3 linked regions of the Ovis aries genome follow. The protein of the gene in region 3 interacts with the protein of the main gene of each other region in a pairwise test. Links are inferred from orthologs where the notes say so. Each region holds a gene or a part of one and is shown on either strand. Other genes may lie near its edges. The genes, in order: FGFR1OP2, GFAP and UBASH3A.

Evidence for each region.
Region 1: the proteins of UBASH3A (region 3) and FGFR1OP2 interact in binary tests that used the Homo sapiens proteins (3 or more experiments, as listed by UniProt). The link is inferred for Ovis aries from reciprocal best matches to the Homo sapiens genes UBASH3A and FGFR1OP2.
Region 2: the proteins of UBASH3A (region 3) and GFAP interact in binary tests that used the Homo sapiens proteins (3 or more experiments, as listed by UniProt). The link is inferred for Ovis aries from reciprocal best matches to the Homo sapiens genes UBASH3A and GFAP.

Annotation. Positions count from the first base shown.
Region 1 is NC_056056.1:188,458,280-188,461,927, forward strand, and holds part of FGFR1OP2 (FGFR1 oncogene partner 2), read right to left. Parts: intron 259-3,648; 5' UTR 257-258; coding exon 122-256; intron 1-121. UniProt on the Homo sapiens protein: May be involved in wound healing pathway.
Region 2 is NC_056064.1:44,354,697-44,358,282, forward strand, and holds part of GFAP (glial fibrillary acidic protein), read right to left. Parts: intron 2,501-3,586; coding exon 2,375-2,500; intron 2,215-2,374; coding exon 1,994-2,214; intron 1,214-1,993; coding exon 1,170-1,213; intron 816-1,169; coding exon 696-815; intron 1-695.
Region 3 is NC_056054.1:263,379,462-263,383,596, reverse strand, and holds the start of UBASH3A (ubiquitin-associated and SH3 domain-containing protein A), read right to left. Parts: upstream 2,927-4,135; 5' UTR 2,909-2,926; coding exon 2,796-2,908; intron 619-2,795; coding exon 565-618; intron 1-564. UniProt on the Homo sapiens protein: Interferes with CBL-mediated down-regulation and degradation of receptor-type tyrosine kinases. Promotes accumulation of activated target receptors, such as T-cell receptors, EGFR and PDGFRB, on the cell surface.

The sequences.
Region 1 (3,648 bases), on a different chromosome or scaffold from region 3:
AACTTCAGAAAACATTAAAAATAAAATACTAGTTAAGCAGAAGTTTGTAATAAAAGCAACACATAAATGTCAGTGACGGTCTTTTAAAAATAGAATCAACAGGGGGAAAAAAAAATCAAACCTGCTTCATAGCCTCTACTCGCTTATTGAGAGCAGTGGTTTGCTCAATCAAAGATTCTGCTGCATCGTCGTGGTCTCTCAACCTTTCAACAAGGGCTTTAGCGTCAGCAAGTGCCTTCTCAATGGTGCAACTCATTTCTAAAGGAATACACAGGGTTAAAAACGAAAAACAGATTCAAAAGAAAGCTGGCATATCAATCTTATTCTAGTTCCACTTTAACACACATTATGCTTAAGCTATATTTGTTACTGAATCGTTCACTGTCTCAGGATGAAAACCATCTAAGAACACATGTGGTTTTGATCCTGTTAAGATGGAACAAACTTGAAAGTGATTTTATAATATTCAAGAAATTATACACAACATATATAAATATATATAATTATATACTACATATATACATATATGTGTTTATATATACACATTATATATATATGTATGTGTGTGTATATATATATATGTATGTATGTATGTATGTATGTATATATATATACACACATAGGGCTTCCCTGGTGGCTCAGAGTTTAAAGCGTCTGCCTCCAGTGCGGGAGACCTGGGTTGGGAAGATCCCCTGGAGAAAGAAATGGCAACCCACTCCAGTATTCTTGCCTGGAGAATCCCATGGACTGAGGAGCCTGGTGGGCTGCAGTCCCCGGAGTCACAAAGAGTCGGACACGACTGAGTGACTTTACTTACTTTACATATATATATATATACATATATACATGTATATATGTATATATATATATATATATATAAGTTTGAGAACAAAATCAGAACGTATTTAAAACACCCTGAATATACAGTGGGGACAAAAGTGTACATTCACTAAATACATTTTATGTTATATAGACTCCTCTATTCATAGGATTCTTCAGGCAAGAATAGTGGAGTGGGTTGCCATTCCCTTCTGCAGGGGACCTTCTCAACCTAGGGATCAAACCCATGTCTCCCGCGGCTCCCACATTGTAGGTGGATTCTTCAGCGCACTGAAGAACTGATGCTTTTGAACTGTGGTGTTAGAGAAGACTCTTGACTTGGACTGCAAGGTGATCAAATCAGTCAATCCTGAATATTCACTGGAAGGACTGATGCTGAAGTTGAAAACTCCAATACTTTGGCCACCTGATGGGAAGAAGTGACTCACTGGAAAAGACCCTGATGCTGGGAAACATTGAAGGCAGGAGAAGGGGACAACAGAGGATGAGATGGTTGGATGGCATCACCGACTCGATGGACGTGAGTTTGAGCAAGCTCCGGGAGTTGGTGATGGACAGAGAAGCCTGGCAGCTGCAGTCCACGGGGTTGCAAAGAGTCGGACAAGACTGAGCAACTGAACTGAATGTTATATAGAAATTGCACTCTTCGTGAGGGCAATCCCTATCTTGCCATTTGTGAAAAAAGGTCATTTTATTATTTTGTATTCTGCAGTCAGTGACTGTCAGGTCTCCGACCATATGACCCCTCCTAGCCTCCGCTTGGTCAGGTGACCTCAGACACCATCCACAAACGTACACTACTAACCAGGCAAAGCGGCCTCTACGTGTCATGCTACACTAAAGGATCAACCTCCTTCTGGAGGAACTTCAGCTTCTCATAGGAAAATTCTCAGTAATTCTAACTCTCGCACTTTCCTTAGTAAATGGCAAAGGAAGTGCTAACTTAGAGCAACACTGGCCATTACGGGAAGCTTCTGATACGTTAAAGTCAGTGACTCAAATGTATAAAAGAGGCTGAAAGGCCAGGAGACAAAACATAACACAGCCAACAGTTAGCTTCTTCAACTGATACGCCGAGACCTCAAAACAAAATTTTTATTTTAAAATCTCTCAAAAACTTTAACATTCTGACACTGATCACTCTTGAATTTTTCTCTTTCTACTGTTTTGCCTTATTTTCTGTTAATATACGAGCCACCCTTTACGATTTTCTCAAAAAATAAAATTACTTTGTAATGTTTCTATGTCATAAGCCAAATCTATAGCAATTAAATTAAAACTCATGTGTAGAACAAAGTTAAGGGCTATAATTAAGGATTTTCACCAAGTTTAGGAAGACAGAATATAGGTCTTTTTAAGATACTACTACATGGGACTCGTTAGGTTAATTGTTAGCCCCTCAGATACAGAAAAATGCAGCAAGAGATTTAAATAACCCAACTGTGTAACATTTTAAAAGAAAGAAAATACAACACATCCCACCATTTTAGCAGGCTTTCATTAAGATTATACCTAGCAAAGATTAAAAATTGCAAATTAAATAAAGATGAAAAAAATTCAAACAGTATTCTTGGTTGTACCCAACAGCTGAAGCAGAGAGTATATTGTCCTGTTTTTATAAACAGGTTCAAAGCTGAATAAAAAGATTTAATCAAAATAAAATAAAACTGCCAATTTATAAAATGTTCCCTATATGACCAGACATTTCCAGAGATCTTTAAGAATTAAGCTGGAAATTAATACAACTTCTGTCTCTCTAGATAAAACAACCAAAATATTTGTCTTCAAAGATTTAGGAGATTTAGATAAGGGCACTTCAAAATACAACAGCAAAAGGGGCCACTAAAGGAACCAATTCTTACTGTAGGTTAAAACACGAAAGGACAGTCATTAAAATCTATCTAAGATGTCCTCCAACAAGGCCTTGCCCTTCTGGAATTACCTAAAATTAGAGCTAGGCAACAGTACAGCTTTCTCCAGTATTCTTGCCTAGAGAATCCCAGGGATGGGGCAGCCTGGTGGGCTGCCGTCTATGGGGTCACACAGAGTCGGACACGACTGAAGTGACTTGGCAGCAGCAGCAGAGCTAGGCAACAGTACAGCTTTCTTATTTATATGGGGGTCACTGTATCTCTATGGAGAATTCACTGTATCTCTATGGGGGGCTTCCCTGGTGGCTCAGAGGATAAAGCGTCTGCCTGCAATGTAGGAGACCCGGGTTCGATCCCTGGGTTGGGAAGATCCCCTGGAGAAGGAAATGGCAACCCACTCCAGTATTCTTGTCAGGAGAATCCCATGGACAGAGAAGCCTGACGGGCTACAGTCCACAGGGTCGCAAACAGTCGGACACGACTGAGCGACTTCACTTTCACTTTACTTTCATCTCTCTCTGAGTGAGTGTTAGTTGCTCAGTTGTGTCTGACTCTTTGTGGCCCCACAGACTGCAGCCCTCCAGGCTCCTCTGCCCATGGGATTCTCCAGGCAAGAATACTGGAGTGGTTAGCCACTTTCTGACCCAGGGACTGAACCTGGGTCTCCTACACTGCAGATTCTTTACCATCTGAGCCACCAGGGAAGCCCCTATATCTCCATATCTCCCATCAATTCCACTAACTATAGAACATCAGATTTTTTTAGAGTAAAATTACATTTAAAAACAGAAAAAAATGTCTTACAGTAAAAATAAATGGTTGCAACAGATGTTGAAAGAAAATAAAAAAGCAAAGTCTAGAGAAAGCTGTGAAAGATTTGAGATGTTTATCTTGATTTAACAGAACAACTCAGGTATGAGGACCTTGACAGTCCGAG
Region 2 (3,586 bases), on a different chromosome or scaffold from region 3:
CCCTTTTCTGTCTGGCATGTGGCAGTATTGCCTCTACCTGGTCTGCTGGTTAACTCTTCTGATACTGAACTAAGCCCTCGGACATGCATAGCTAGTGTTCCTAAATTTCTAGTCCAGAAGAATTATTTTTTCCCTCAGCTGAGAATTATTTGAGGGCCACATACAAGTAAGAAGCAATTTATTCCCCCCTGCAGAGAGAAAAATGTAACATGTCACACTCACTAATGTTTAATATTAAGAGCAGGGGACATAAAACTTTATTCACTCCAAGAGCAGCAGTCTAGAGGGAAATAATCCTCTGGGCTGAATCAGCCCTGAGCTGAACAACCGAGCCTCGGGGACAGAGGAATCAGGCCAAGAGCCTGGCTGCCAGGCACCGTGAGACTCTAGGGGCCCTCCTGGTGATGGGGAAGAGGTGAGGCAGAAGCTGGTGTTTGCTCAGAGGCCCAGAGCATCTGAGCTGAGTACCCGAGGACTTAGCACCTTGAACACTGGCCAACTCTACTACTTTAATGTACATTTACCCTGTGCCAGGTCCTGGACTGGGCGCTGAGATTGCTGGGGAAATGACACAGGGTTGGCCCTTTAGGGAAACCTGGGAGGAGGGAGCTCAAGAAGATGGGGAAAGTGGGCTTGGTGAGCTTGCTCCCTATTAAGGTGAAAAAAGCACCATGTCTAAAAGGCAGGCAGCTAACCGAGAGCCGGCGGGGCTCCATCTACAACCTGGTGAGCCTGAATTGGTATAACTTGTATTGTGAGGCTTTTGAGATGTCTTGTGACCTTGTGACTTTCCCCTTCTTTGGTGCTTTTGCCCCCTGTAGTGACAAGCAGTTAAAAAAAAACACACAAACATCAAACACTCAGCTGGACAGGGATCTGCAGACAGGTGAGAGGTTAAGACCCTCACTCAGTTCTGCAGTGGAATGGGGAGTAGGCATGGGAGGAGGGACAAAGGGCAGAGCAGGACAGGAGTGGCTGCAAGCCCCACCTGGAATGCTCTGGAATGGTGTGTTCTGGCTGGAAGTTCTGCCATGAATATTGAAGGTCCCCACAGAGAGCACTGGGCCCCTCTGCCCTGGTCCTCGGGCTCAGACCAGAAGAGCAACCCACAGGCCTGGGGAAGGGGGCGGGAATCCAACACTCTGCCCACAAAACCCTGTTCTACTGACCTCGGATCTGCAGGTTGGAGAAGGTCTGAACAGGAATGGTGATGCTGAAAGACAGCAGAAGGAGAGGGGTGACCAGCCTGCCAGAGGACACTCCCAGGCCAGATCCTGGTCCAAGGTCACCATAATAGCTTCGAGGCCCTCTTCCTTGCCAGGAAAGGCGGACCTCCATCTCTTAGCTTCTCCAGCAGCCAACACACTCCCCGCGCTGTAAGAGCTCTGGGGGAACACCTCCACTCAAAAGAGAGTGAGTGCTCTGAGGATGACAGAGGGGAGGGGAGAGCAGTGAAGAGAGTTCCCAGGAGGCAGAGGAGATTGGTCAGCAGAAAAGAAGTCCAGTCTTTGTTGGGAGGGTGGGGAGTGAGCCTTTTAGTTTGGAAGATAACCCAAGTCCTTACCCTAGGATCTGATCAACATGGGCTGAATTGAATCCATCCATTCATTCATCAGGCATTTATGAATACCAACTGTGTGTTAGGTGAGCACTGTGCTGGGCGCTGGGATAGGAGGGGGCTGGTCACGAGGCTGAATAAGACAGTCCCTGATGGGGCTTCCCAGATGGCGCAGTGGTAAAGAACACACCTGCCAAAGCAGGAGACACAAAGAGACGTGGGTTCTATCCCTGGGTCGGGAAGACCCGCTGGAGAAGGAAATGGCAACTCACTCCAGTATTCTTGCCTGGGAAATCCCATGGATATAGGAGCCTGACGGGCTACCATCTATGGGAGTCGCAAAGAGTTGGACATGTCCGAGCACACATGTATTCGTGAAGGGAGCAAGGCGACTCTGGGGCGGGGCAGTAGGGCAGGCGGCCGGTCTGGGCTCACCGGTTCTCCTCGCCCTCCAGCAGCTTCCTGTAGGTGGCGATCTCGATGTCCAGGGCCAGTTTGACGTTGAGCAGATCCTGGTATTCCTGCAGGTGGCGCGCCATCTCGTCCTTGAGGCTCTGCCCCTCTTCCTCCAGCCGGGCCAGCGCCTCCTGGTAACTCGCCGCCTCCCGCGCGTGGCGCTCCTCTTGCTCGCGCATCTGCCGCTCCAGGGACTCGTTCTGTGGGTGGAGCCGGACCGTTCCCCGAGGCCCCGCCCCAAGAAACTTTTCAGAGCTCCGCCCCGAGCCAGTCCTTCAGCGTCTGCTAGGGCTGTAGGTCCCAGGTTCCCGGCTCGCTCACCCGTACCCCTCCTCCGCCTGCGGCCCCGCCCCTGCTCACCGTGCCGCGCAAGGACTCCAGGTCGCAGGTCAAGGCCTGCAGCTGCCGTCGGTAGTCGTTGGCCTCATGCTTGGCCTGGCGGAGCAGCTCCGCGTTGCGGGCGGCGGCGTCGTTCAGGTCCGCGAACTAGATGAGGAGAGGGCTTTATGCTGGAAGGCGGTCTGGGGCCGCATATCGCGGGAGCTTAGTGGGCTCGGGGGGTTGGTACGCGGTCTGGAGGATCAGGGAGATGGGCCGGACGGTACGGCTGTTTTCCAGCCCACCCCACGCCACTGGCACTGGGTGGGATTATTCACAGTCACCCGTGGCCCATGGACACAGACACAGACGACATTGCTACTTCTCTAGCATCTAGCTCAGTGCCTGATGAGGGAACGCGTGAATGAGCAGAGGGTGTCACAGAGCCCAGACTCTCCAGTAGCTCCATCCTCGGGACTGAATCCTGTCCTCCTAGGTCACACACAGGGAGCTCTGGTGAGCAGAGACCAGGTTCTAATAACCCTCTCTCCTTCAGCCTGCTCTGAATCCCTCATGGTTCCATCACGCCTTAACCTGCTCAGAACCATCCCTGACTTCTGCCACTTACACTCCTCAGCTCCATGCCCTGGGCCAGGATCTCCGGGCCCCCACTTTTCTGTGCTTTATGGCCTCTACTCAGGCTGTGTCCTGCATGCCCTTCCTGAATGCCCTTTCTCTCTTCTCTGTATGTTCGTAGGCTGCCAGTCCCGCCTGGCCCCACTGCCCTCCCATGAAATCTGTCCTGCTTCCGCGTTGCGTGTAAACCCTGCCCTGCTGCGTTCTTCACAGACATCAAGCTGAGTGACATCACATCCCCCTGGTCAGACGTGTCTCTGTATGCAGGGCAGAGCCTGGCATGCAGCAGATACTCAGTAACCCAGGATGCAGATGGCAGAAGCATCAAGAATGTGGGCTTGGGACTTCCCTGGCAGTCCAGTGGTGAAGGCTCCACCCTTCCAATGGGCGAGGCGTGGGTTTGATCCCTGGTCAAGGAACTAACATCCCACATGCTTAGAGGCATGACCAAGAAAGCCCCCCAGATAAACAGTTAAAAAAAAAGATAAGAATACAGGCTCTTAAGTGAGACAGCTAGGGTTAGAAATCCAGCTCTATTGCTTAGGAGCTGTGTGAATTTGGCCAAATTGGTTAACCTCTCTGGACTTCAGTTCTGTCATCTATCAAAGGACAGTACCT
Region 3 (4,135 bases):
GAGGGGATTTCCCACCGTGGGACAGAATGATGGCATCACTGCGCATGCGGGCGGGCCCGAGTTTTAGAGAACAGGGCGTCCTCTTTGATTCCTGGGGCAGGAGAGCAAGGCTCGTAGCAGTGGGAGGCTGGCAAAGCCGCAGAGCTAGAGGCTGGCAGGGCCGCCTGGAACCCAGAGCTCCCCTGCACCTGGCACCCTTAAGGTGCAACGTGCCAAGGCCTGGGGGCTCTCACCACCACCTGCCAGTTCTCACTCCATCAGAAGTGGAGAGAGTGGCGACCTCGATTTCACATCAGCAAAAATGTCTCTTTCTTGTTTATTCAACAGCAAACCACATGAATGTTTCTCTTCATTGATAGCCACATTGGGATCATATCAGAATTTTAAGAAATCTTAAGAAAACGTTGTTCAGAGTTTTCTCTTTTGTTTTCTGTTCTAGCTGGGGGCTTTTTACTGCTTTCTCTGGGCACCGTGGGCTGCATGGAGGTGCCCGCCCACCAGGGGATCCTGGGGACCTCCCAGCTCCCATGCAGAGACCCTACAACCTGCAGGCCCCCCACTCACCAGTTTGATGCCTCCTCTGCCGTCTTCCTTCCAGTGGCTGCCAATGCCTTGAGCCTGTGGGAGGCAGAGCGCAAGGAGCTCTCAGAACGCTAACTTTCATTCTTTGGAAAAGGTCGGGGTTGGGGGGTGTCTCCACAATACATCGGACCTTCAGGAGGGACCCCAGGGAGCTGGATGGTTAGACCTCAGAGCGTGATGCAGTGCCCAGACCTCCACCCTCTGTGCAACATCACAGTGGTTTTGGAAACACAGACTGCTTGCATCTCTCCACTCCCACCCATGGTTTCCCTTCCCTGGCCCCCACCCCCAGTCCCTGGCATGGAGACCAAGGGTTCATGCCCTGAGGTTCACCCCTGCCTGAATCCCACCTCGCTAATCCTCCCCCATGCACTCTCAGATCTTCAAGGCAGCCAGGCAGGGCCATGGCCCTGGCTTGTACACGTGCCTCCCTGACCACATGCCCTGGGGGAAATGGCACAGGGTCTTCCAGGCTAGGCTCAGGTGTTCTTCCTCCAGGAAGCCCTCCCTAAAGTGCTCAAGGAGAGTGCACGTGCAGCTCTCCTGTGCTTCCCCACCACACATGGCCACCTTGCCCCTCATCTCAATGGACTCGTGTCCGCCTGCCTGTCCAACCATCTGCGAGCTCCCTGGGCTTAACTGTGTCTTACTCATCCTTGAAACTGGGATGTATGTACAGTGAATTGAGTTTTAACCGAACGGGCCCAACTAGACAGAATGGAGTTTGATGAAGGCAATTCATCCTCAAATTTAGCCTGGATATCACCAGGAACCTGAGATGGCCACTGCCCAGTGGGGCTATTTCAGAGGATGCTGGTGGGGCTGAGGCCACCTGGAGAGGTTAGCAGGAGACTTACTGGGGTGCTCCCACCCAGGGAGACATTTCAAACATGTCTCTCCAACACCAACACATAGCTAATGTTTAAACTGGAAGGAATTGGGCTTAATTTGGTCACGCCTTGCGGCATATGAGATCTTAGCTCCCCAACCAGGAACTGAACCCACACCCCTTGCATTGAAAGTATGGCGCCTTAACCACTGGACCGTCAGGAAAGTCCTTAAATTGGAAGGAATTTTAAGTATGTGTCTAACGGCAACTTCAGTCACATAATGAAGAGTGAATTTTATAGGCACCGGGACTGCGGTTCCAGCCCTGCCCCTCCTCTACCTTCCCTTTCGTGCCTCTGCGTCCTCATCTGCACCTGATGGACGGTGCCCAGGATGGCGTCCAGCCTACGGCAGGCAGCCACGCACATGCCTGATCCAGTTCCTGTCTCACAGACTCCCGGTTTACTGTGAATGCCACATGACAACAAAGTCCTGATTTGGGTTGGGGAGAAGAGGGGTCCAGCCTCATTCATTCCACGCAGTTGGGCAGGGGTTTGTTATCTGTTTAGGGTGAGATTGCCCCCTCCCCATCCACAGTCACCTAAGGGGACTTCTGATGTATTTCTCACATGAATATGGGCACGAAAAGGATCAGATCTAAGAACAACGTGGAAGCTGCCACCACTGCCAGGCTCAAAGCTCATCATTCTGGAGGGGGGATCCTTCCCTGGAGGAGGGCATGGCAACCCACTCCAGTACTCTTACCTGGAGAATTCCATGGACAGAGGAGCCTGGCAGGCTATAGTCCATGGTGTTGCAAAAGAGTTGACATCACCTAGCTGACTAACACCTTCACCTTCCCTCTCGGGTGGGGATACTCAGGGTGGAGTCGTCTCTGTGTGGCCCTTCTCCTAAGATCACATCCTCCCTGCTTGGGGGCTTCCTTAACCATTATCATTATCACACAATCAAGAATCCTTACCCACAAGGGGTTTCTCTGCATTTAGAAGTAACATTCCTGTGTATTTCAACAGGTCCCAGAATCAGAGACCGCCCCTGACCGACTTAGGGGCTTTCAAAAGTCTCAAAAGCCATCTGTGATTATCCAAACTGCCCATAGAGAGGGTCAGCCAGGCATCTCCAAACCCTGGTTCCAATTTCACAAACCTCAGGATCCCACCATCACCAGAGAGCAAAGTCTGTCTTTAAAAGGCAAAGCACGCGTCGTTTATAAAAGCAGAAAAGGCCTCATTTTGAGATGAATCCCGGGCCTGCAGGGTGCACCCCTTGACAGGAAGTCAGGGCTCTGAGCTGCCCGCAGTTCTGTGACCACAGCAGGGTCAGCTCGGAGTCCGGGAAGCCGGGCCAGGCCGGGCGGTACTCACGCGGTGTGCGCCGGGAAGCCCATGCCCAGGAGGGGGTCCAGGAGGGAGGGGTTGCTGCGGCCCTTGAGTTTGTTGAAGACCTTGGCATAGAGCTGGGTCTCGCCCGCTGCCATCGCTTCCTGCTGCAGACTGAAGCGAGCAGATAAAGCTGAGAGGCTGAGGCTAAGAAGAAAACCTCAAGCCCTTTCTGATCTTTCTGACAAAGCTAATATCCTGTTTGCATGAGATACTGCTTTTCAGAGTTCTCTTTGCAGAGTGTGGGTGCAGGGTCCACCAAGCCCCTTCTACAGTGGGGTTTGGGGTCAGGAGGTCATGGGATCGGCTTGGTTCTGACTTGGGCTGGGAGAAGTCTGCCTGGTATGGGTGGGAAGGGAGGCTGGGGGAGGGGAATCCGGGGTGGGGTTCTTTACTGGGTCCCACTGGTGGCAGAACCCTGAGCCACCTGGATCTTAGTTTCCCTATCTGCAGAAGACATTAAACTACGCTGTATCTGTTGTCCCTCATAGTTCTGAAATTTTTGGCTCTTTTAGTTGTTCATTGATTTCTTTTCTTTCCTGTAAAAATATAAAGTTTAACACGCATGCAGAAAAGCTGATGAATCCTACGTGGAGAGCTCATAGTGAACTGACACCCCCTAATCCTCCAGGACCAGCAGCAAAACAGAGGTCCTTGACCTGGGACCTCTTCCCAGGTCCCTATTCCCAGGGACCACTGGCATTGTTGGGAGATATTTTGATTGTCACCACCAGAGGAGGGAGTGTTTGCTAGCTGTGCCTAGTGCGGGGAGGCCAGGAACGCTGCAGCAAAGAAGGGTCCAGCTCAAGATGCCAGCAGTGCCAGAGTTGAGATCCTCTGTTCGAAACATCAGCAGAACCTTGGAAGCCCCCCGGCCCCAGCGCCTCTCGCCCAGCCTCCTAGTTTCCTCCTCCTTTCCCGTAGCTGTTGCTCTCACTTGTATATTAATTTTGCTCCTCTTTGAACCTGACATAAACAGAACCGTATGGTGTGTTCTCTTCTATGCCTGTTCCTTTTGCCCAAAATCATGAGCGTGAAGTTTATCCATGTTGAGAGCAACCACATTTCAATGTATTGCTGTATATTTCACTGTATTGTGTTCCAGCAGATAAATGCACCATGCTTGATTCCGCTGGTTCTCAGCTGATGTATATTTGGGTGCCTTTCAATTTTGCTGCTTCAGACATTCTTGGTATATTTCTTTGAGTACCCGACGCACGAATTTCTGTTAGGCACCTGTCTCAGGGTGGGATTGTGTGATCACAGGACTTGTTCATCCTTCACCAGACACTGCCAAGCAATTTCACTCCGCAGTCGTACCAGCT